3 linked regions of the Arabidopsis thaliana genome follow. The protein of the gene in region 1 interacts with the protein of each later gene in a biochemical or structural test. Each region holds a gene or a part of one and is shown in the gene's direction. Other genes may lie near its edges. The genes, in order: HFR1, FHY1 and PIF3.

Region 1 (7,871 bases):
CAAGATCTCACCTCTTCACGAAGATCCGCAAGATTCAAGAGTTATGATCGATTTGTTCTAGACTTAAACTATCTTTCTCCCGCTTTGTGTAATTTTTGCTCTTTTGGCCACAAGTTGTAAAATCACTTATGAGGATATTAATGGGAACCTTCACATACTTATGTCTTGTCAAAGTCTAATCTGCAATCTTAGTATCTAATTGGTTTTCGTTTAATAATTTTCTTACTTGTAAGCGGACCTATAAATGAAATCATTGGCTTGGGTAAGCCCCTTCCACACACCGACCCAATGCGACACCAGCAGCAACATATTTGCCACCAAAGAATATCCATCAATCATGACCAGATGATGAAAGACCACAGCTTCAGCAACTTTATCATCAAGTCACTCATCATTGGGAAAGTCTACAAATCCAACATGATTTAAGAATTAAGATAGTTTAAGTATGCATATTCAATCGACAAGCTTGTATATGGGAATTTTGGCGACAAAACATAAGATCCCAAACGTATCTACTTGAATTTGCACACAACTGGTTTCACAAATCCAAAAACTTAACAGAAAATTGGGGGAAAAAGACTGTTAGCAACATGAGATGGAGCAGTCATCGCTACACTTTTGCTCTGTACAGAGAATATCCCCTCAGAGTTTCATAAGTCGAGTTGTATCCTCTGCTATCCATCTTAGTAATACTTGAGAGCTTCCTTAACTTTGCAAGTTGCAACTCAACCTGCCCAAATAAAAAAAAAGATAATGATTTTTGCACTGTTCTCATTGAAAAGGGTGAAAGAAAACAGATTCATTAGCATATAATACAATACCTTGCAGAGATTGCCTCTGGCAACATTGTGATTCCTTTCCTGAAAGAACCAACTGTTTGGGCCCTTTGGCTTTGACAGAAGCGGCCTCAGTTTCCCATTCCACAACACAAACCTGGGAATGGGAAACAATATCTACCTGAATTACGCACACAACGACAAATGTAAATCCACTAAACCAAAAACAGAGCTTCTACCAAAACTCTTCTAGTAAACTTGCAAACAACGACAAGGCTTAAATCCACTAAACCAAGACAGAGCATTCTACTAAAACTCTTTTAGTGAATTTCAAACCACTAAACTATCAGATACAAGACAATTTGTTCTGTAGATAACTAATTTTTGCTTTCGAAATCATATACATTGGCTCAATTTAACGCTTCATGTAACAAAATCGAATTAAGCGAATTCGATCGAAACCACAATAGGAAAAGGGAAAAAAAAAAACATTTTTCCTCGCGTGTCAAGATACATACTCCGCTGAGGATCAGTCAATCCGCCGTCACGGTAATACCTCCTCCGCCTTCGAGTTTAGAAGATCGACGATTGATCAACCGGAAACAACAGAGATTAGTAGAATCATAAGCAAGTAACCGAGGACGGAGAAGAATTATGAGAGAAATGGCTGCGACACCGCCGGACGGAGAAGAGACATTTGATATTTCCATGGCGATCGCTACGAAAAGAAGAAGTAGAGGCCTGTTCTCAGTTTTGTCTAACATGTTTCACTCCTCATTGATGGGCCCTTAATAAATTCATATTTGGGTTAATAACATTACATGGGCTAACCTAAAAGCCCAGTAAAGATAACGTTCTATTTGGCAAAAAAAGAAGAAGATAGATAGATCATAGATGCTGCATTTAATGTACAACAAAAATAAAAATCGTCAATCAACCACTAGATACACAAATAGTACTTCGTATAGTATATGATTCCAACCAAAACGGTGGGAACAAGAGAAAAATATTAAAATAAGAATCAATAATGCAAAGTTTTTCCATAATATCAAATAGATTGAACAGTGGGAAGTTGTAGATTGGAACGTATATTCCGAGAGGTCGTTGTCGTGAAGGAGATTGGAAACCTATGTAGTGGCTGTGGTTTTGCTTCGTCGCTCGCTAAGACACCAACAAAATATAAAGTACCCAAGTGTCAGACATAGCACCATGTCCATCACGAGGGCATCACGTGAACACGCCTTTTCTTCTTCCTCTCTCTCTCTCTTTTTCGATTTTTTTCAGGCCCATTTGATTCAACGCTACAAAGTTAACATTCATTAGTCAATTGAATAATAATAATTAGTATTTTTGTTCTACTAATTCGAAATTAGAATTTGATACTGTTTTTTTTTTTTTTTGATTGTTGATATTTAGTAACCAGGTCATTTTTGTTTATTCAGAATATGTTGTAATTATTGGAGTTTTTTTTAATTAAGGAAAATAGTGTGGACCTTTTTTATCAAAGATAGTAATAATGTGGACCATCGCACCTGCTCGGTGTATGGTTGATGATGACGTGACTCTAAAATTCCAATAAATGTGTCGTGGGGTTACAGAAAACAAAAAAAACTGATTCGTTATAGGATTGGTTTAGAGCCCACAACCCACGTGGGATTTTGGATAAAACCCTAAATGAATTCTTTTTTCAGGAATCCATAAATGGTCATGAAATGAAATGCATTCTCAGGCTGGAAATAATCGACCATTATATTATTGCACAAAAAAGTGAACTCTAGTATCATAACTCTGAAATTATTATGATTGCTGGTTACTGAATTTTGTAAGCCTTTCATAATAACGAATTTACCAATTGGGAGATCGAATAATCTTATCGTTGTTACAGACGATATTTTTTTGTCGATTATATTATGAAACTTGTGGTAGTCAACCTTTTTTTTTCCAAACGGAGACGTCATCTTTTTGTTTTTATATTTAGAGATGATCTGACCAAAAATAAACAAATAGACATCCGATATTTTACATTGTTTTATATATATATAAAGATAAAGCTTAATGACGAGTATTCAATGATAAACGATAAGATTACGGGAAAAATAATTAAACGGATAAAAATGGCCCTACCCGTTGTGCATTACAGTTCTTGGTTAAGAAATACTATTAAACTGTCTCTCAAATCTCAATATATAAATGAATACATTCTATACGTACAAAGATAAATTTATCTCTATGTTCATGTGTCAAAGTGGTAGTGAATCTAGTGACGTTATTGATTAATCAAGATTACTTTTATCTTTCTGTGCAAAATTTCAAGATTACTCTAAAGTCGATATATGCTACTATGACGTAGTTTTGGGACAATTACGTATAGAATCATAAAAACAATAAGCAGAATAATAATCCATTTAAGTACATTGTGAATTTGTGATAATGGAATTATTTGACAATACTTTTCCAAAATAAAAACTAATTTAATTACTGTATTAATTATTTTAGTAAAACAATATTTTCATTACAATGTTTGTTGTGAATCCAAAAAAGTATTGTTTCCAAAGAACTCAAATGACATCAATATGTCTATAATAACCTCGTGTAGCTGTATGTTAGAATCTAGCCGAATTGTTTTATTGTTGTCGGTGTACGCAACAAACGAACCACACATACTTTGAAACGTGGCACAATATAAGTGGGTCACCAATGTAGCTGACAACTATACCATCTATCTGATCCGATCGCTCTTATAACATAAGCGTATGGGATACCATTTTCTCGGACAAAGCTGAAATCCCTAAAGAAAAAACACTTCTCCAAACTTTTCATCTCCGATATCTCTTTAACTAACATGTAAGTATAATTAAACAGGAGGTTTCAGAGTTTAGGTTTCTTGCCTTGTTATTCTCTTTATTTATTTCTTTAATAATTTATCAATGATTTGTATCGTAAACCCTAATAGTTTACTACTTTTTTCTTGGCAGGTCGAATAATCAAGCTTTCATGGAATTGGGATGGAGAAACGACGTCGGATCACTTGCTGTGAAAGATCAGGGCATGATGTCAGAAAGAGCAAGAAGTGATGAAGATCGTCTAATCAACGGTCTAAAATGGGGCTACGGCTACTTTGATCATGATCAAACTGATAATTATCTTCAGATTGTTCCAGAGATTCATAAAGAAGTAGAAAATGCGAAGGAGGATTTATTGGTTGTTGTCCCTGATGAACATTCTGAAACTGATGATCATCATCATATTAAAGATTTTTCAGAGAGATCAGATCATCGATTTTATCTGAGAAACAAACATGAGAACCCCAAAAAACGTCGTATCCAGGTCTTAAGTAGTGATGTAAGTCGATACATAGATATATTTTCATGTTACCTTATGTATTATCATTTTTCACTGTTTTTAATTTTTTCTTTCTATAAATAAAATTAATTAATTTAGGATGAATCGGAGGAGTTTACAAGAGAAGTTCCTTCAGTTACTCGAAAAGGTTCCAAGAGAAGAAGAAGAGACGAGAAGATGAGTAATAAGATGCGTAAGCTACAGCAACTCGTACCTAATTGTCACAAGGTTGGTGTGTATATAGATCCTTCTATATAATGTTTCAATTTAACTATTGAGTGTCTAGTCTTTTCCGTATAAGTTTCCGCTACTTCCGTTGCATATATGAAGAAATCTTGCCTTAAGTTTCCAATTCTGATAACGGGTGGTGCTTTTTTACGGTTTTCAGACGGACAAGGTTTCGGTTCTCGACAAGACCATAGAGTATATGAAAAACCTTCAACTTCAACTTCAGGTCTATATTTAACTTTATTCACTATTTTTATTTCACACTTTATTCAGTGTTCTTCTTCCATATATTTGAATTATTGAGGCTTGAGGTTTTAAGTGTTTATCTAATAGTCTGAGTTTTTTTTTGGTTAATTTAACTAGTTGACATAAACTGTTCTTGGTATTCGATCTGACTCGCCAACTTATGAGATATGGATTATTGTTTTACAATATGGGTTTCAAATTGATCAAACAAATATAGCCACTTTTTGGTGTTTAGTGACGAAAAAAATGGAATGATATATAGTAGGCAGTAGATAACCTAGATGGTGAAGTCTATAGAATTTCTTTAATATTTCGAATTCATCTCTTTTCATGTGATTATTTAGTGCCAACTAAATGTTTTATATTTTATAGAACTATGTACCCATTTTGATCATTCGAATATGTATATGTGCTATTTATATTCAGAAACTAAGTTGTAATCAAAGTTGATGTTATAATTGCAGATGATGTCAACAGTGGGGGTGAATCCTTATTTTCTTCCGGCGACATTAGGATTTGGAATGCACAACCACATGCTGACGGCAATGGCTTCGGCTCACGGCCTAAATCCGGCGAATCACATGATGCCATCGCCGCTAATTCCGGCGTTAAATTGGCCATTACCACCGTTTACTAATATTTCATTCCCACATTCATCTAGTCAATCTCTATTTCTTACAACATCATCACCAGCTTCTTCTCCTCAGTCTCTTCACGGTTTGGTTCCTTATTTCCCAAGTTTCTTGGATTTTTCTTCCCATGCGATGAGAAGACTATGATAAGTAAGTAGCTCGATAAAAGTTTATGTGAAATGATCGTTGACTAATTAAGAGAGAAAAGAGTTCCAAATTAGGACAGTTTGTGTGAACCATTTGTGTCATATACTTTTTTTTCCGGGTGGTTTTGTATATTAATAATAATCAATAAGTTAAAACTTTTTGTATAAATTCTTGCATGTAACAATTTTTTCATTTATCTGATATTTTGTAAAATATATTGAGACATGCTTATAAGAGCATTGAACGTAGGAACAAGATTTCCCTGATTCTTAAGCGTCTCAAACGTTTACACTTGGTTACATGCATCCCAACTAGCTTTATCTTCAGCATCTCAAATTCAGGACCAGTGGGTCATACACTATGATAATGTTAATGTACAAAAAGTAACATTAACTTACCTCTGCACACTGCATGTTACTTAGAAGTTAGGATGTGGCTCTGCCAAATATAGGGCCGGATGTATGAGAAAAGATCAAAAGAAGAAATGAGGAAACTTGACTTCGAGAATTATTAATCACTTTCTTACACATCAATTATTGATTTGCGTTTTGTGTTTACACATCGCTTTTCCACAGTTGATATATTCATTTTTTTGTGGAAAATTCAAAATGTTTTCTGTTTTAAAGTTGTGACTTGTGAGTAATAATCTCTTTTCTTTTGTTTTCTGAGCTAGGTAAATACACACACAAGAAATATTACGTCCGAAACTCGAGACACAATTCATATTTATATATAAAAAAAGAAAAATTCTACACGCACAGACACAGGCGCACACTTATATACGTATTATTTTACAAATACATATCCTTTTGTCTCAATAAGGCTTGGCTTTAGTGAAAAACAATGTCAGAAAGGCATAGTTTTACCTACTAATTAGCTATGACGTACATTTCTTAGTTTGGTCAAGACAAATAAAATGTTTGGTTTTTTATTTCGCCAAGCAAATGACTTGTCGATCAAACTGGTCTCTGATTCTATAAGTACCAAAAACTTCGAGCTTCTTCTCTCATAGTTAAATAAAATTCATCTTTTCACGGATATATTTAATTTGGAGCCATGATGAATTCAAGAATTTCTATTATCATTGCGTTATCTTGCATTATGATCACTTCAATTCGTGCATACGATCCCGACGCTCTTCAAGATCTCTGCGTTGCCGATAAATCTCACGGTAGAAATTACCTTTGTTCGAAAATTTAATCTATCGTGATGTTATAATAATATCTATGTATCAGGAGGATCATCTCAAACTCTATGAACATCTTATCTAAATTTCAAATCAAAAATAAAATTAATATGTTGAAATTAGAGATATTTTAATATATAGATATTTTGTGGGAATATTACACCATTATTAAATCTATGTTGACTTGATATAAAACCTAAACGGCACGATGTGCGAAACGCAGGAACCAAACTGAATGGATTTCCGTGCAAGGAAACATTAAACATCACGGAGTCCGACTTCTTCTTCGCCGGAATCTCAAAACCCGCCGTCATAAACTCTACGATGGGTTCGGCCGTAACAGGAGCCAACGTGGAAAAGATCCCAGGCCTCAACACTCTCTCCGTCTCCTTAGCACGTATAGACTACGCGCCGGGAGGTTTAAACCCACCGCACACTCACCCACGCGCCACCGAAGTCGTCTACGTTCTAGAAGGAGAGCTTGAGGTTGGATTTATCACAACAGCGAATAAGCTTTTCACTAAAACCATAAAGATTGGTGAAGTTTTCGTTTTTCCAAGAGGGCTTGTGCATTTTCAAAAGAACAATGGGAAATCTCCCGCGTCGGTTTTGTCGGCATTTAATAGTCAGTTGCCGGGAACGGCTTCTGTTGCGGCAACCCTATTTGCGGCAGAGCCGGCTTTGCCGGAAGATGTGTTAACTAAGACTTTTCAAGTGGGATCTAAGATGGTTGATAAGATTAAGGAAAGGCTTGCCACTAAAAAATAATTCATAAAAGTTTAAAAAAAAAATAAAAACATGAAAATATAATGTAACCGTTACCTAGAAAGATTTTATTTAACACTACTGTATTGAATAAAAAGGTGTTACTGTGATTATCTTGTTGATGATTTTTATTGCTTGCTTGGAGATCAAGTGTTCGTCCTAGAGCTTTTGGACCAGTGATGGATTAATACACTTCTTAAGTTGAATAAGAAGCTAACGTGGGCCTGGAAAAATGTATAATGGGCTAACTAATATGGCCCTAAATAAAATGTTAGTAAATTATCTCATTTAAATATATTTTTTTAATACATAATGGGCTTACTAATAGGGCCCATATTAAATGTTTCGCTTGTGATTTTAGCCGACGGAGAGTCTGTTTTCAGATCAACCTAAAAGCCTATCGTCGTCGTCGTCTCAAGTCGCATTAGCTCTTTCAAAAATCCGATAGTTTCTGGCTGCGATGCCGCCGAAGAGAAATTTCAGGAAGCGTAGCTTCGAGGAGGAAGAAGAAGATAATGATGTAAACAAAGCCGCAATTTCAGAGGAAGA
Region 2 (7,871 bases), on another chromosome or scaffold:
AGTAACAGAGAAACGAGCAGGGAAGCACAGCTAGTTTCTATATTTTATTCGTCATTGCAATTGGTGTGATGCAATCTTAACCACAACAGCTATGCAACTTCTCATGTCCATGAAACTTACAAGAAAAGAGAAATTTTTCTTCATTTTCACAGATTAATATATGCAGGCTTAATTGATATGTGGTTTAAATACAACGACTTTCACCTTTCAGCTTAATTGATCCAATCTCGTTTATCTTTTAACACACCACAATAGCCAAGAAAATAATAAGAATCGAGAAAATACTTAAGAAGAATGGTTGACACCATTATACTCAATACAGGGGACATAGGTACCTGATAGGAGAAGCATCGTGAGAGCTACAGGGCACAGCTGAAGCCGTATTCAATTTCCCAGACGAAGAAGTGGGAAGCTTCTGCAAATTTGCCATAGTCAAACTCTGGAACGACTGCGTTCTGGTCACTGGAAAAGGTCCAACTCTGTAGGTGGAGCGAGAAGTGTGAAGGACTGGAGTTGTATTTCCAACGACAAGAACAGCAGCTGAGCTTTGTTTCAAAAGCAACATCTAGAATGCTATACAAAACGGAATACTTTTAGCACCGTTTTATAAATATGCAATCAAGTAACATGAAAAAGTATGGTAGACCACAATAGAGAATGAACTCAAGCAAAACCCAAGTCAACGTCAATAGCTAAACCAATGAAAACGACGTAAGAAGCTCATGTGAATGGATTCAAGTAACATTCTTAGAGTCAATAGCTAAACTAATAAAGCCGCAGCTTCAACTTGAGAGGAAGGCAAACCTGGGTGAGAGAAGCAGCTAGACAGAGAGAGAAGTCGGAAAGTCAGGTCCAAAGGTTAGATTTTTATAAAGCAAGTTCGATAATAGAGGTGGAAAAAAGCTTCTTCCGGATTTGGAGGCGGCGGCGAGGAGAGAGAAGATCGGTCTGACGGGGAGAGAAGAAAAGGTTTTTGAGAGGTTTTATACAAAACGCAGTCGAAAACCGGAGAAGCCTAATCCGTTTTATGTATAATTTGATTCGGTTAAGAAAACCGAACCGGGTATGATGAGATGTGGTTTTTGATTAGGCTCCACGATTTGATTTGGTCGCACCAAAGATCGGATTTTTATCAGACGGAAAGGAGGAGACGGAAGAAAATGCCGGTGAGAGTTGTTGAGAGCAACACGCCTGCTCAAGTTTCAGGTTTTTGATCGCTTCTTCAAGTTTTGAATTTAGGTTTGTTTGTTTATGTTCCCTCTTTGTGGCTCTCTCGCTCATTTGTTGAGATTTGTTGCCATTTAGGAACTGATCCTGGGAATCGATCACCACTTCCCCCTAGTTCACTTCTCGGCGCTGGCCAGGTACAACGATTAATGAATTAACAAAACATGTTATTTTGCAGAAATTTATTTCTAGGATTCGTATGATACTTGGATTTTTACAAGTTTTTCTCTCAAGTGTCTGACCATAGAGGTCTTGGGAATATTGGTTAGGACTAGAAAGAACTTTATTAGTTATGCTTGTGCATCTGTGGTTATGTATGCACACTCTTTTTATGAACATAACCTTATGTGTAAGCAGAATCTGAGTATACCTATAAAGACATTATCTTAGGGGTTTTTATGTGTAAAGGTGAATTTTCTCTCAAACTTGACAAGTTCTTACTTATGAATACTTGAAATCACAAGAATAGCTAATTTTTTTATTGTTGATTCTGTCGATTGGCTGTGGTAGTTATAGAAGAAACTTTGCTTCACAAGGGTTTGCTAGTATACTTTATGTGAAATTTGTGAGAGAGAGGCTATGGTAAGATGAGAAGGAAAGTTATAAGTTTCCATGATGTTTAGCTACTTAGGTTAGCATAAAAGAACTTAAAGATCTCGTGTCTCGTTGTTCAGGCACAAAGCATCATTCATAGGCAGGCAACAAACATCATGGGTCTAGTTACTTTCTTCCCATTAGATCTGCAACTTGTTCAAGTGTTCTGGTTGCATAACGATTCTCTAGTAATGCTGATTTTTGTTATACCAATTAGAAGTTGGCCTTGTCTGCTTTGATTGGCTTCATATCTTTTTCATGTTGACATGTATGCTTAATTCAAGTGCATTTGTATCTAGTTGGGATTGTATAACATTCATTGGCTCAAAGAGATTGTTTATTCATAATGAACCTAAAGATGAGGAACACACATGTTTTTATGCTGTGCTGCAGGCATTTTCTGGTACGCAAAATGTCTCTAATCAACAGAAGGAGGAAGCTTGGAGAGTCAACGTCCAGATACAGGGTATTGACCTTGAACATGGTTATCTTTGTGGCACCATGGAAGCTCTAAACGTTCCCATGGCAGACACTCCTGTAAGCCCTTACACTCTTACTCATTTTTTCTTCATATTGCTTCCCCTTGAATTTCTAATAGGGGACACGATTCTTGATTCTGTGAGTGTCAGGTCATAACATTCTGGGAAGGGGAAATCGTTGATGGAAAGAATTATACCTTTTACACCGGAAAATGGGAAGCAACGTATGTCCCAATTCCTATATTCTTGTAGATTTGAAACTGATGATTTCTTATCGTGAATAAATTTTTGAAAGTTTGTTTGTCACAGGAGGGAAGATGATATGAGACATTGGTCAAAGTTCCCGTCTTTTTCGCCTCTTCAGGTAACACTCGAGTAACATTGTTTGTATAGTCAGTAACATCTCCTAAGCAACGTTCTGGACTTAATACTGCAGGGACAAGTTGAATCTGATGGTGGCAGGCAATTGGATCTTAACAATTATCCTTATATATTTATGGTATAACTCTCAGTTTTTCCTATCGAATCCAATCATCATTTTCTCTCAAGTATTCCATAATTCCTGCAACTCGGGTTTATTTTTGTGGTGGTGCAGAGATGGAAAGAGCAATACTTTGTAAACGTTGGCACAGATTGTGGACTAACAATAGCTGGATTTTACTACGTATGCTTCTCCTGCAGCGATGGTTCCATCAGCGGTTTCTATTATGATCCAAACAGCAGGTTAGTCCAAGATACAAACTATATAATCTGTTGTTGTTTGAGATAAAACCTGATGATATTTTGTTTCTGGACAGTCCGTTTCAGAAGCTGGAGCTGAAAACAGTTAACGAAGGAAGATCTGGTTTCAGCTTTTCTTCTTACGAGTTGCAATGATGAATGCTACCAAAATCATCAGACAGCGCCATATGATACTCTCGTCTAAACATGCGATGCACGTGATCCAGTACATTATGACGTGTCAATTATTATAAATTATTAGTAAGATATTTTTTTGCTTAGCTAGTAGACCAGACCAAGTAAAGAACTAAAAATACTATTTTGTCATTATGGTACCAAGCTAATAGTTTATCTGGAAAAAGAACAAATTGTCCAAAAAAATAATTACCAAATAGTTGAGAAGTTTTTCTAAAAATTTTTGTAAAAAAAATCCAAATTCTTCTAAAATTAAGTTTTTAATAGAAATTTAAAAAGACAGTTCTACATCATATTATTTTCTTTAAATAATGATATAAAATTTATAAACTATTATCTTTGTAAGATAATGAATATTTATACCTATGTAAGGGAAAAATTGATAAATATTTATACATCCTCATCCAAAAGCCCATAAAATCGTTATGGGACAATAGTAAAAAAGATTGCAAAATCGTATGGAGCGAAAGATAAAAATAAAAAACGGTCCCGTGTAAGAAGATGGGTCACCTCGCCAACACGTAGACTCTTTTCACGCGCCAAATCAAACACCATGTCGACGAGATCAACGGATTCAAATGTTTCGTGTAATACACGCTCCAACGTAGCGCGTCGTACACTTGATGCTTAATTTATGTATTTTAAGTTACGCAGTTTCCAGATTTTCAGACCCTCTGAAAGTGGAAAGAGCATTTTTTAAAAGAGTAATAAGAAAAACAATTATCTTTGAACTCTCTCTATCTCTCTCTCTCTCTCTGCGATCTATGCCTGAAGTGGAAGTGGATAACAACAACGAGAAGCCATCTGAGATTAACAGGTTTCAGTTTCTCAATCTATTCCTATATATTATCATTAGAGATCAAATTTCTTATTATGCTTCTTCTCAGTTTCTTTAAGATACAGAGGATTGACTGATTATGTATGTATTCATGTCAATGGTTGACCAAAAATCATAGCTGCAGAGGATGATTGAAGTTTTATCTTGATTTTAGCTTATTTAATCGTTGAGATTAAGAAAGTTTTCCTGTTATTCTTTCCTAAACCCTTATTAAGTTCAAGATTAATAAAGTCAATTTCATATATTTGGTGATTAAGATCCATCCACTATCTTAATATGTGTTGTTCTTTTTTTTTGCAGTTTCCATCACATGATCATAAGTAGTAGTAAAAATGTGTTGAAAATGGAAGAAGTTGAGGTGAGCAAGAAGAGGAAATTTCAGACAGATCAATCTGATGAGTTATCGTTATTACCTCTGTCAAAACACACTTGTTTTGCCAATGTTGCTTGTTCAGAGAATACAAATGGTAACTCGGAGATTGATACAGAGTATTCAATGTCTTCTTATGTGAACTCAACAACTTCTATGGAGTGTAACAATGATATAGAGATGAAAGAGGAATCATCTGGATCATGCGGTGAAGACAAGATGATCTCTTTCGAAAGCCATCTAGATTACATCTATGGGACTCAGAACTTAGAGGATTTTTCAGAGAAAGTCATTGAAAACATTCTCTATCTCGATGAACAAGAAGAAGAAGAGGAAGATGCTAAAGGATGTAGTAGTAATGCTGCTAAGTTTGTTCTGTCCTCTGGAAGATGGACTGTTAACCAAGGTAAAGAAAACCGGATTTTGGTTTGACCGTATTGATTCAATGAACCGGGGATTCACTAACTTGGTTTCATGTGTACAGATGATTCTACTCTACATGAGACAAAGAAGCCTACCATTGATCAAGAATTTGAACAATACTTCTCAACGCTAATGCTGTAACAAAATGATGTTGAGACTCAAAACATATATGAAGAGATGTATGTACATAGAACTGTACTCGTTCTGTTTTGATTCTTGTCAACCTTAAAAAAACGTTCAATTCAAAGTGATTAGAGAGCTTCTTTGAAATGTTTGCAACTCTAGTCTTCAACTTTTAAGATTTTTATTAGCTTGCAAAACTAATCTTGCTTATATATCTTGTTCTGCCTGGATCAGAAATAAAAGTTAGTATAAAAAAATTCTGAGATGATTATGACACTCTGATCCTTCATATGAACCAATCTTGTGTTCAAGAGTATCCCTGATGTATTTCAGTACCAACTTAACTGAGAAATGAGAGTCAATGTTCTTTAATAAGTTTGTTCAGATGATATCTTCTTCTTTTTTTGGTTGGTCACCTATATTCAATCTGCTCTCTCCAAATTATCTCCAATACACTCTCTTCTGAACATAATACAAAAATTCATAACTTTTTCTTATTATGGTCAAAAGTCTTGTTAATATTCAACTTGTTCCTTTCTAATGTAAAATCTAAACTGATTTAATAAAGAAAAAGATGATAGCTTATTGATATTCTTCCTAGTAAAACATTTTGGCATGATGGTCAAGACTCAAGATTTGCTAGAATGTGGTTCCCTCGCATTATCAGTCTTCTTGGTCAATGTCTAGTAGTTTTAAATTCGCTATAAAAATAGCAAAAAAAAACAAAAACAAAAAATTGTTGATTAAAAAGAAATTAACACCAAACTTTAAAAATAGTTATCCTTAGTAATTTTATGTAAGTATCTTTAACACGTAAAGTCGAACATAGTATATGATTTTGTTCACACTAATAGTCGAACAAAACGTAAATTAAGGTTTGAATTATAACGAAAGCAAAACATGCTTCCACGACCTTTGGTTTTGACTTAAGATCTTAATTAACATCATCAAACATTTTTATTAGTTATGGACTTATGGTAATGAAATTGAACGTGAAGAGATCGATGTGTCTTACAAAAAGACAAAACACGTCTTCAACACTTTCCTCCATAATTCCCGATTTGCCCATCATTCCATAACGGTGCCTCTGAATCATCAATGATCGGCCAAATTTTCTGATTTCAGATTTCAATCACCATTTTCAAATTCGGTGGAGCTAGTTGGTAGATGATGGAAGATGGAAACAAATTGGATCGGAAGAAGACAATGACGATGAACTGGGAAGGATTAGGAGATTTTGAAGATGAAGATGATGATAGATTCTTCGAAACTCATGATCGTCTCTCTTCTGCTTTAACTTTCGACATGGCTAATGCTTCTTCTTCCGATGAAGATGAAGATTTCGACGATTGTCGACTCTCGTTTTCTTCAGCCGTCTCTTCCTTAACCACCGCCTCTAGGAAATTTCGTACGCCGGCGATGTCTCCTGATTACGATATTTGGATGGCTGCTCCGGGATCTATATCTGAGCGTCGTCGTCGTCTTCTCCATGGGATGGGACTTGCTAGTAATAAAGATATGGTTAGTGCTGTTTCCATTCGTCGCGTTGTTTCTAATGCGCCTGTTGTTAGTAACGGTGAAGAAAAGAAGATGAAGAAGAAGATGAATCATGAGGTTGATGAACAAGATCATGATCATGTTCCGGTTATGCTTGCGAGGTCAAGATCGGAATCAGATATTGAGAGGTTCTTGATTGAGAAACGAAGAAAAGAAGAGATTTTAGGGAAAATCTCAAAGCAGCGTCTTACAAGAACGTATTCTACTATTTGTCCTACAAGGACAAGGATTTGTCAGTACCAAACTCCGATCAGACAAACACCTGCGGTTTGTGGAAATGGAAAAGCTTTGCGCGGTGGTGGAGAGGCGTTGACATCGGTAATGTCGAATGCGAGGGTTGGCGCGTTTTTCTTGATAAAGAATCTTGATACAGGGAAAGAGTTTATAGTGAATGAGTATGATGAAGATGGAATGTGGAATAGGCTTAGTGATCTGCAAACAGGGAAGCAATTAACTTTGGAGGAGTTTGAGAAATGTGTTGGTTATTCACCTGTGGTTAAAGAGCTTATGCGTAGAGAGAATGTGAATAGGATTAACTACGAACCGTTAATGGATCTTCGCAAGTTTAATTCGTATCTTTCCAAGAGTGTGAGGTTAAGTAAGAGAAGAGGAGCTGCATTGTTGAAGAACATTAAAGGTGTAGCTCATTCCATGAGTTTACGCGTTGCGGATAAAGATGTAAGCGATGGAAGCACTGATAGTCCGAAAAAGGGGAAAGATCATAAACATGGTAAAGCTAATGAGTGGGTGAAAGTTAGACCAACAGGGAAATCTTACAAGGAGTTAAGTGCTTTACATATGTGTCAAGAGATTCAAGCTCATGAGGGTGCGGTTTGGACTATCAAGTTTAGTCAAGATGCTCATTATCTAGCGAGCGGAGGAGCGGATAGAGTCATTCATGTGTGGGAGGTTCAAGAATGTGAACTAATGTCTATGAATGAAGGAAGTCTCACTCCTATTCATCCTTCACTTTGTGACTCTTCTGGAAATGAGATAACTGTGGTAGAGAAGAAAAAGAAAGGAAAGGGATCATCCGGGAGACGACACAATCATATTCCGGATTACGTACATGTTCCTGAAACAGTCTTCTCGTTTTCTGATAAGCCTGTTTGCTCTTTGAAAGGTCATCTGGATGCTATTTTGGATCTTTCATGGTCCAAATCTCAGCTTCTTCTTTCATCTTCTATGGACAAAACAGTCAGGTTATGGGATATAGAAACCAAAACATGTCTCAAACTGTTTGCCCATAATGACTATGGTAAGACAAATCTTTTGTATCCTATCTTCACATCTAGCTATTAATTTTCTGCATGCACTTTTGACTATATTGTCTCATTGATTCAAC
Region 3 (7,871 bases), 2.6 Mb from region 1:
TTTGTTAGGCTATGTTGGCTTTACTTACTTGGGCCAAATGATTGTAACTGTTGAGCCCACTTGAATATCTAGCCACTTGTTTCTGTTAATTCTGACTCGGATGAGACCAAAGAGACGAATGTGGCCAGATATTATAGTGGGCTGATGAGTAAGGCCCAATAAAAATTTAAGGTTTAACACCTATCTACCGTTCCATAATTCTTCTACAAAAGGTTGTTGATTGTATTAAACAGTGTCGCATAAACTTTTAAGAGCACCGAACCGTATTAAATTCATCAACCAGTTTGTGGTAAAGATACAATAATGTGGATTTGGTTTTGTCTCTGATTCAATTTTAAATTGACAAAAATCTGAATTGGGTTTGGTTTATAGTTGAGATTGATTAGTTTTTTTGGACTATCCAAGGAAGTGGGGACGTGTTTGATTATGAGGATAGGGACACGGCAAAGCGTGTCAACGTGTAGAAGTTCATTGTATTTTGCATAATATACGTATATACATTACATACATACCGATTCTTGTTCGATATATTGTTTCTGGTCAACATTTTGCACCAAATTAAGGAAAAGACAAACAAAAGCATTTTGCACCAAAAGGAAACGCATTATTTTCTTCTATATTGTTCATATAGAATATGCCAGATTGTAATAGCATATGTCACATGTGTCACATCTCTTGTGCCCTCAAAAATCACCACGTGTATCGACTCATCATCTATCACCATCGTCGAGAATAATTTACCTGCTGATCATGATCATCTTCTCCAACAAATTTGCTTTTGTGTTGACGTAAAGTGACGTTTTGATAATATATATAGCAAATGTATCTGACCTTTTAAATTGTGGAAGGGCCAGTTCTAAGAAAAGAAAGAAAAAAAATGAGCTAGGGTTCTCTTTCCTAAGTTGTTCATGATAATGAGGTAAAAGATTAATGCCAGTATAAACTTCTGGCACGTGGTCGGCTAGCTAAAGATCAGATCTTTTATTTTTGTAGAGAATGTAGAGTAAGTGATCAAAAACCTGTTGTTGGCCTATTCCACGGCGGATTGAGAGAATTGTGCGGGGACAGGGTCTTGTCATTTTATTTGAGTTTTGGCCTAACATATAGCAACTAGATCATAACCCGTATATAGCACGGACATTAATATTTTATATAAATTAAATTGTATACTTTGTTATGTTTGCTATGTTTGTTAAAATTATTTGTTATATTTGTCAAACTTTAGTAAAATATATTTAAATTAAATTAAATTTATTAAAACTTAATAAATTTAAAAGTTTTTTTTGTTTGGAGACGCACTATTTACATACAAAATATCCGTTTCTATTTTTTGAGTACTTTTAGGGCCTGAAACTTTTTATCCAAACTGACCTAAACCCAACTGGACGCGACCCGAACCGAATATTTAGAATTATTCTATTAAATAGTAAATCATATACCCATTAATCCCAAACCCGAACGGGTTCTACATGAACTCGAATGGGTTACTCATATGTCCAGCCCTATTCTCTGATTTAATTATCTAAAAAATCCCAATAAACATATGTTTTGGTGAGTACTTTTTATTCAAAAAAATTTACATCCTCTTCTGCCAAAATCATTTCATAAGACATCCCAAAATCTTTGGAATAATGATTCCATGAATGAAGAATCCTAATTTGAATATACCAAGAGGTTTTGAAAGGTTTTAAGTTTTTGATAGGTGTGTATGTGAGAAGGTACATCCATCGTGATGGTAATCTGCTTATTTATAATTTTAACTTGCATTATACAGCAGATAGGCTTATATTTTAGTTAAACTAAAAACTTTTATTGTAAAATTGATTATAAATATATGATATTATTTTATTTGATTTTAAATGTATAGAAACTACGAGTTGTATATGTTTTGTTGATATTATTTATATTGTTTAGTGTTTAAAATTATATACTTGTATTTTGATTGTTAATTTTAGAGTTTCACATGTAGTATACCATCTTGTATTAATATTGATTTAAACCCGTCAATTGTAGGATTTTTCAGCTTGTATTAAAAATTGAATCACATCATACACATTAAAAAATCTAATATGTTATTAATTATTGTAGTATATAAGATTATAAATTTTAAAATAATATGTATGAAATTGAATATAAATATTCAAATTATGACACAGTACTCAGTAATTTTTTTTCTTAAATCTACTTTTGACCCGTTATAGTATTTTTTTCATGTACTGAACAATTTATATTCGTTTTTAAAAATTCAAATTGTGGCATATGCGAAAAAACTCTAATTATTTTTTTATAACGATGATATTATTTTTTCGCAAAAATAGAATCATATAAAGATGAGAGGTGAATTATAATAATTAATAAAAAATTAATATGATAATATTGATATCAAATCTAATTTGTTGATTTTAATTGGTTACTTTTTTGGAAATTAATAATGTATTTCGTTTTTGAGTTAAATTTAATTAATTAAATTAGTATTTGACTTTTTAATTTTTAAAGAAATGAATTAATTTACTCTTTAAAATTTTATTTCTAATGGCATACGTATGTAATTACTTACAAAAAATAAGGTTACATTTTAAAAATTAATATGATAATTTAGATATCAAATCTAATTTGTTGATTTTAATTGGTTACTTTTCTGGAAATTAATAATGTATTTCGTTTTTGAGTTAAATTTAATTAATTAAATTAGTATTTGACTCTTTAATTTTTAAAGAAATGAATTAATTTACTCTTTAAAATTTTATTTCTAATGGCATACCTATATAATTACTTACAAAAAAGAAGATTATATTTCAAATGTACTTCCCAAATAATATAGTAGGATCACTTCCATTCCGAGTTTTCTTCTTTCTTTGATATATATATCTACTTATTTATTTACTCGGTTTGATTTTATAATAAATTTGTTTATAATTATTTTCTGAACAAGAGATGGCCATAAAATACAGTGATGAAATCAATAATGGTCCATGCAAATGTACTCAAATTATCCACTTGGAAAGTTTATAGTATACAATGGGTTGTTACGTATTTTAGAATCTAATTTGCATGGCGATTTAATTGACATTTCATCATCAACCGAGCTATAACGAGAGATAAACCAGAAGATGCAACGTTCGTGAACAAACTCGACTGATATTCTAGATGGTTTTATTTATTTTTTACTTATAGAAAGGAACAAATTAGATTTAAAGATAATATGCTCTAATCTAAGAGTTTGGAACCACTATACCACATACTATATCCCATGATTAAAAAAAATCTCAATTATTATAGCGCAAATGATTGGTTTTCATCAGTTAATAGAACTTGCTGAGTGAGTCCCCAAATTTGAGGATGATTAGTAATTTAGTATCGTAAAGACTAAAAAAGACTTAAGAAAAATAGTAATGATTAGAGAAGTCAAACCTTTAATAATTAAGATAGATAAAGAGAGACAAGGTTGCTCAACCCCACTTGGAGTGTGATGCTTTTTTGGCAGTGTTCCTTTATGATAACACATCTCTTCACACACAACTTTAGTGTATCACAGGCCCATGTCACTTTAAGATAAGATAACATATTCTAGTATATGATTATTTTCATATTTGTAAGTGTATTAAATTATTCATAGACACACCATGAATTAATTGTAATAATGCGAAGGACCTGTATCATGTAACAGAGACAGACGAAGTGTGCAGAGGTCGGTGAGAAGCAATTTGGTCACCATGCTCCAACTCTCTTCTCTAGGTCCCTTTTGCTTTAATTTTCTCGTTTAATAACAATATCTTATGAAAGCAGTTACCATATCAATTGAAGGATTGTATAATACCGTAATTTATTTATATATAGTACATCTAATTAAACATTAATTATTTCTACTAATAGCCTAAAACCACTACTAATACAACAACTAGTACTTGTTTACGATAATTATTAAACTTGTCTCGATACCTACAACATGCCCAAAAAAGTAATCAATACTTTGTTTAATCACAAAGATCTCAGTGAGATGGTTCTATAGATAGTATTTCTGATTTGTTAGTATATTAGAGAATTGACCATCTATTAAAATAAGAGAATGAACACTATTTGATAAAACAATACATACGCAATTATCATTGTCTTTAATTTTTATCAAAGTAATCATACGATCGACTATTTGTATGCAAAAATTCATCATTTTATTTGCAAAAAAAAACAAACAAACATGGTAGAATTGTATTTGGTGTGTGTTTTAACAAATTGTTGCAATGTTTAGTGCAACATATATAATCCACTATATATAATCATTGACATAATTAATATTTGATTATATGAAGCAATTTCTCTTTAATTATGTGTTTATAAATATAGGGAGAAAAGAAAAATAGAGAGAAAGGTAAAGAGTAGAGCTAATGATTCGGGCGACGCTAAAAGGTTGAATGTTCGAGAGAAACGGAGTCTCAGAGACTGTGAAAACAAAAAATCAAAATCCTCAGTTACAGACGATTTGGTCCCCTCTCTTCTCTCTCTGCGTCCGTCTTGTGCGTCGATTTGTCTCCATCTCCTTCTCTCTCCGCCTACTTTCTCAGGACTACTCCAATTCGCCGACTTTTTCTCCTCTGTTCTCTGCATTTGGATTGATGCCACTTTAATACTTTGAGGTTCTCACTCTCTCTTTCTCTCTTCGCTGACTTCGATTGCTTCAGTACCCTTTTTCTCAGGTCAGCTACGATGATAGCTTTATTCAGACAAGAAGATCAAAGTTTTGATCTTTTTGTTTTGGTTTTCTTAAGAGATGGTTAATTAGGTCTTGAGTGCGCTGTTTTGAATCGTTCTTCAGTGTGATTAAACAATTGGTTTTGATTTGACTAATCATGTTGCCATTAAACTAAGTGAAAATCTCTGCTTTTTTTATATTGCATATTGATGATTGAGACATTGATTTCTTTTCTATTTCTTTATTTCCCAGTTTCTAATTTGGGAACTGAAAAGTTTTCTAATTTAAGCATTACAAAGTGTACAATTTTTGTTTCTGGCAAGTTTTTCTTGGCCTAATTCGTCTATTTTATGAATTCACCTTTTTAGGATCAAGACTTCGTAAAAGATTGTTTCTGTAAAACGCAACACCATGCCTCTGTTTGAGCTTTTCAGGCTCACCAAAGCTAAGCTTGAATCTGCTCAAGACAGGAACCCTTCTCCGTGAGTCCCATTCACTTGTCTCTCTTTAAGTCTGCCTTGTTTCAAGTTCATCAAATTCATGTGTTTTTTTGTTGTGTGTGAAAAATAACAGACCTGTAGATGAAGTTGTGGAGCTGGTGTGGGAAAATGGTCAGATATCAACTCAAAGTCAGTCAAGTAGATCGAGGAACATTCCTCCACCACAAGCAAACTCTTCTAGAGCTAGAGAGATTGGAAATGGCTCAAAGACGACTATGGTGGACGAGATCCCTATGTCAGTGCCATCACTAATGACGGGTTTGAGTCAAGACGATGACTTTGTTCCATGGTTGAATCATCATCCCTCCCTTGATGGATATTGCTCTGATTTCTTGCGTGATGTGTCGTCTCCTGTTACTGTCAACGAGCAAGAGAGTGATATGGCGGTAAACCAAACTGCTTTCCCGTTGTTTCAGAGAAGAAAGGATGGCAATGAATCAGCTCCTGCTGCTTCTTCGTCGCAGTATAACGGTTTCCAATCGCATTCTCTGTATGGAAGTGATAGAGCTAGAGATCTTCCTAGCCAACAAACCAATCCGGATCGGTTTACTCAGACGCAGGAACCACTAATTACTAGTAACAAGCCTAGTTTGGTCAACTTTTCACATTTCTTACGCCCTGCAACTTTTGCGAAGACTACTAATAATAACCTTCATGACACTAAAGAAAAGAGTCCTCAAAGCCCGCCAAATGTGTTTCAGACCAGAGTTCTTGGAGCTAAAGACTCTGAAGATAAGGTTCTTAACGAGTCTGTTGCTTCTGCTACGCCTAAAGATAACCAAAAGGCTTGCCTAATATCAGAGGACTCATGTAGAAAAGACCAAGAGAGTGAAAAAGCAGTTGTATGTTCTTCTGTTGGCTCGGGTAATAGTCTCGATGGCCCATCCGAAAGTCCTTCACTTTCTTTAAAGAGAAAGCATTCGAATATTCAAGACATTGACTGTCATAGTGAAGTGAGTTAAACTCATGTCATTTTATGCACATTACAATTTCGTTTCTTTGTTGTTTTCTTCAGTTTTTTTATTGAATATTGTTGAGCAGGATGTGGAAGAAGAATCAGGAGATGGAAGAAAGGAAGCAGGTCCATCTCGAACGGGTTTGGGTTCAAAGAGAAGCCGCTCTGCAGAAGTGCATAATCTGTCTGAAAGGGTGAGTGAGTGAAGCCCCTAAAGGGTTTTTGTCCATTCTCAAACTCACAAAAGATTGCTATATTTGGTAACTTACTGTCCTCAATTTTCAGAGACGGCGTGATAGGATCAACGAGAAGATGCGTGCCCTGCAAGAACTCATTCCAAACTGTAACAAGGTCAGCTTCTTCTCCTTTACAAATACCATTCATGATTCATTTTTGTTTGAAAGATAAGGAGCAATGCCAAATAAACTAAAACTTGCATCTTAGAACGAATTGCTAAAGGTTTTTGATTGGTTTCCGTATTTATTAAACCGGAAAAACAATTGAAACCATATTGTAAGCAAGATTGTTCAAGCCGAGAATTTTCGTATTTAATCAGCTTTTGTAACATTTATATGGTTTAAAGGTGGACAAAGCTTCGATGCTAGATGAAGCCATCGAGTATCTCAAGTCACTCCAACTTCAAGTGCAGGTAACACTCTCATTACTCTCTAGAGTCGATAAAAATCGTGCAAACTAATAATCTAAACACAATAATCGCCAACAGATCATGTCAATGGCGTCTGGTTACTATCTGCCACCGGCGGTTATGTTCCCACCGGGTATGGGGCATTACCCGGCAGCAGCTGCTGCAATGGCAATGGGTATGGGAATGCCTTATGCAATGGGCTTGCCTGATTTGAGCCGTGGTGGTTCATCGGTTAACCACGGACCACAGTTCCAAGTCTCGGGGATGCAACAACAACCAGTGGCGATGGGTATTCCACGTGTCTCTGGTGGTGGTATCTTTGCCGGTTCTTCGACGATTGGCAATGGCTCGACTAGAGATTTATCTGGTTCTAAAGATCAAACAACGACGAATAACAACAGTAACTTGAAACCAATAAAGAGAAAACAGGGGTCTTCTGATCAGTTTTGTGGATCGTCGTGACATAAATACAAACTTATGAACTGATGTATTGTTTATTTGTAGCATTCAAACAAATCTATTTTATAATCCTAAACAAAATTAATTTGTGTTCGTTATAACAGTGAAGAGCTTTGTGCTTATTGGTGGGTTCTGTTCTGTTTCTTGTTTTGAATTAAAAAATGTTTTTAATATTTTCAAAGGTTTTGTTCCCTTTTTAATGTAGCGTGGGGTTCACTATATAGATGGACCTGGTTAAACAAGCGTGATGGGCTTCTCAGCCCATTTTGTTAAATAACTTAATTATGACATTTTCTTTCGATTTCCTTTTTTTTCTTTTTTTGGGCCAGGACTATTGAACTAGTGAAGCTGAATATATACCCACGCGAAAATTGAAATTATTGGAAGTTTTTTTTTTTTTTTTTTTTTGTTGGAACCTATAGGGTGTATATAAGTTACATGATACACGGTGTTTGAGCGCATCACTTAGCTTGATATGTAGTTTATGTTATACGTAGTAAGTGATTCGCTCACGCATGACTGTTACGTTTTCTTTAACAAAAAGAAAGGGAATCGATGGTTAGGGTTAGGTCAACGATCGGAGGAGTTGAGCTAGAGCCTAGAGAACCATAGTTTGGAAGAGGG

Evidence for each region.
Region 2: the proteins of HFR1 (region 1) and FHY1 form a complex in vitro, tested with the Arabidopsis thaliana proteins (2 studies listed by BioGRID).
Region 3: the proteins of HFR1 (region 1) and PIF3 form a complex in vitro, tested with the Arabidopsis thaliana proteins (one study listed by BioGRID).

The regions. Positions count from the first base shown.
Region 1 is NC_003070.9:463,433-471,303, reverse strand, and holds HFR1 (basic helix-loop-helix (bHLH) DNA-binding superfamily protein), read left to right. Parts: upstream 1-3,423; 5' UTR 3,424-3,618; coding exon 3,619-3,620; exon of another isoform or gene 3,621-3,751; coding exon 3,752-4,118; intron 4,119-4,217; coding exon 4,218-4,346; intron 4,347-4,506; coding exon 4,507-4,572; intron 4,573-5,056; coding exon 5,057-5,371; 3' UTR 5,372-5,688; downstream 5,689-7,871. Other genes in the region: AT1G02350 (protoporphyrinogen oxidase-like protein), read right to left, coding at 611-730, 822-933, 1,016-1,052, 1,333-1,486; GL22 (germin-like protein subfamily 2 member 2 precursor), read left to right, coding at 6,428-6,542, 6,781-7,325; AT1G02330 (integrator complex subunit-like protein), read left to right, coding at 7,783-7,871. UniProt on the Arabidopsis thaliana protein: Atypical bHLH transcription factor that regulates photomorphogenesis through modulation of phytochrome (e.g. PHYA) and cryptochrome signalings. Suppresses the transcriptional regulation activity of PIF4 by forming non-DNA-binding heterodimer.
Region 2 is NC_003071.7:15,798,805-15,806,675, reverse strand, and holds FHY1 (far-red elongated hypocotyl 1), read left to right. Parts: upstream 1-3,882; 5' UTR 3,883-3,979; coding exon 3,980-4,032; intron 4,033-4,353; coding exon 4,354-4,829; coding exon of another isoform or gene 4,830-4,855; exon of another isoform or gene 4,856-4,907; coding exon 4,908-4,987; 3' UTR 4,988-5,258; downstream 5,259-7,871. Other genes in the region: AT2G37690 (phosphoribosylaminoimidazole carboxylase, putative / AIR carboxylase), read right to left, coding at 336-565; AT2G37680 (glucose-induced degradation-like protein), read left to right, coding at 1,074-1,206, 1,306-1,364, 2,215-2,358, 2,451-2,524, 2,610-2,664, 2,737-2,799, 2,896-3,023, 3,098-3,176; AT2G37670 (Transducin/WD40 repeat-like superfamily protein), read left to right, coding at 6,137-7,784. UniProt on the Arabidopsis thaliana protein: Key regulator of far red / red (FR/R) spectrum-specific responses essential for the adaption to changing light conditions (e.g. de-etiolation), essentially by regulating PHYA shuttling from the cytoplasm to the nucleus and by directly regulating the expression of some target genes, depending on light conditions and phosphorylation status.
Region 3 is NC_003070.9:3,072,118-3,079,988, forward strand, and holds PIF3 (phytochrome interacting factor 3), read left to right. Parts: upstream 1-3,650; 5' UTR 3,651-3,735; intron 3,736-4,283; exon of another isoform or gene 4,284-4,341; 5' UTR 4,342-5,098; coding exon 5,099-5,169; intron 5,170-5,260; coding exon 5,261-6,140; intron 6,141-6,228; coding exon 6,229-6,336; intron 6,337-6,427; coding exon 6,428-6,493; intron 6,494-6,725; coding exon 6,726-6,791; intron 6,792-6,866; coding exon 6,867-7,250; 3' UTR 7,251-7,537; downstream 7,538-7,871.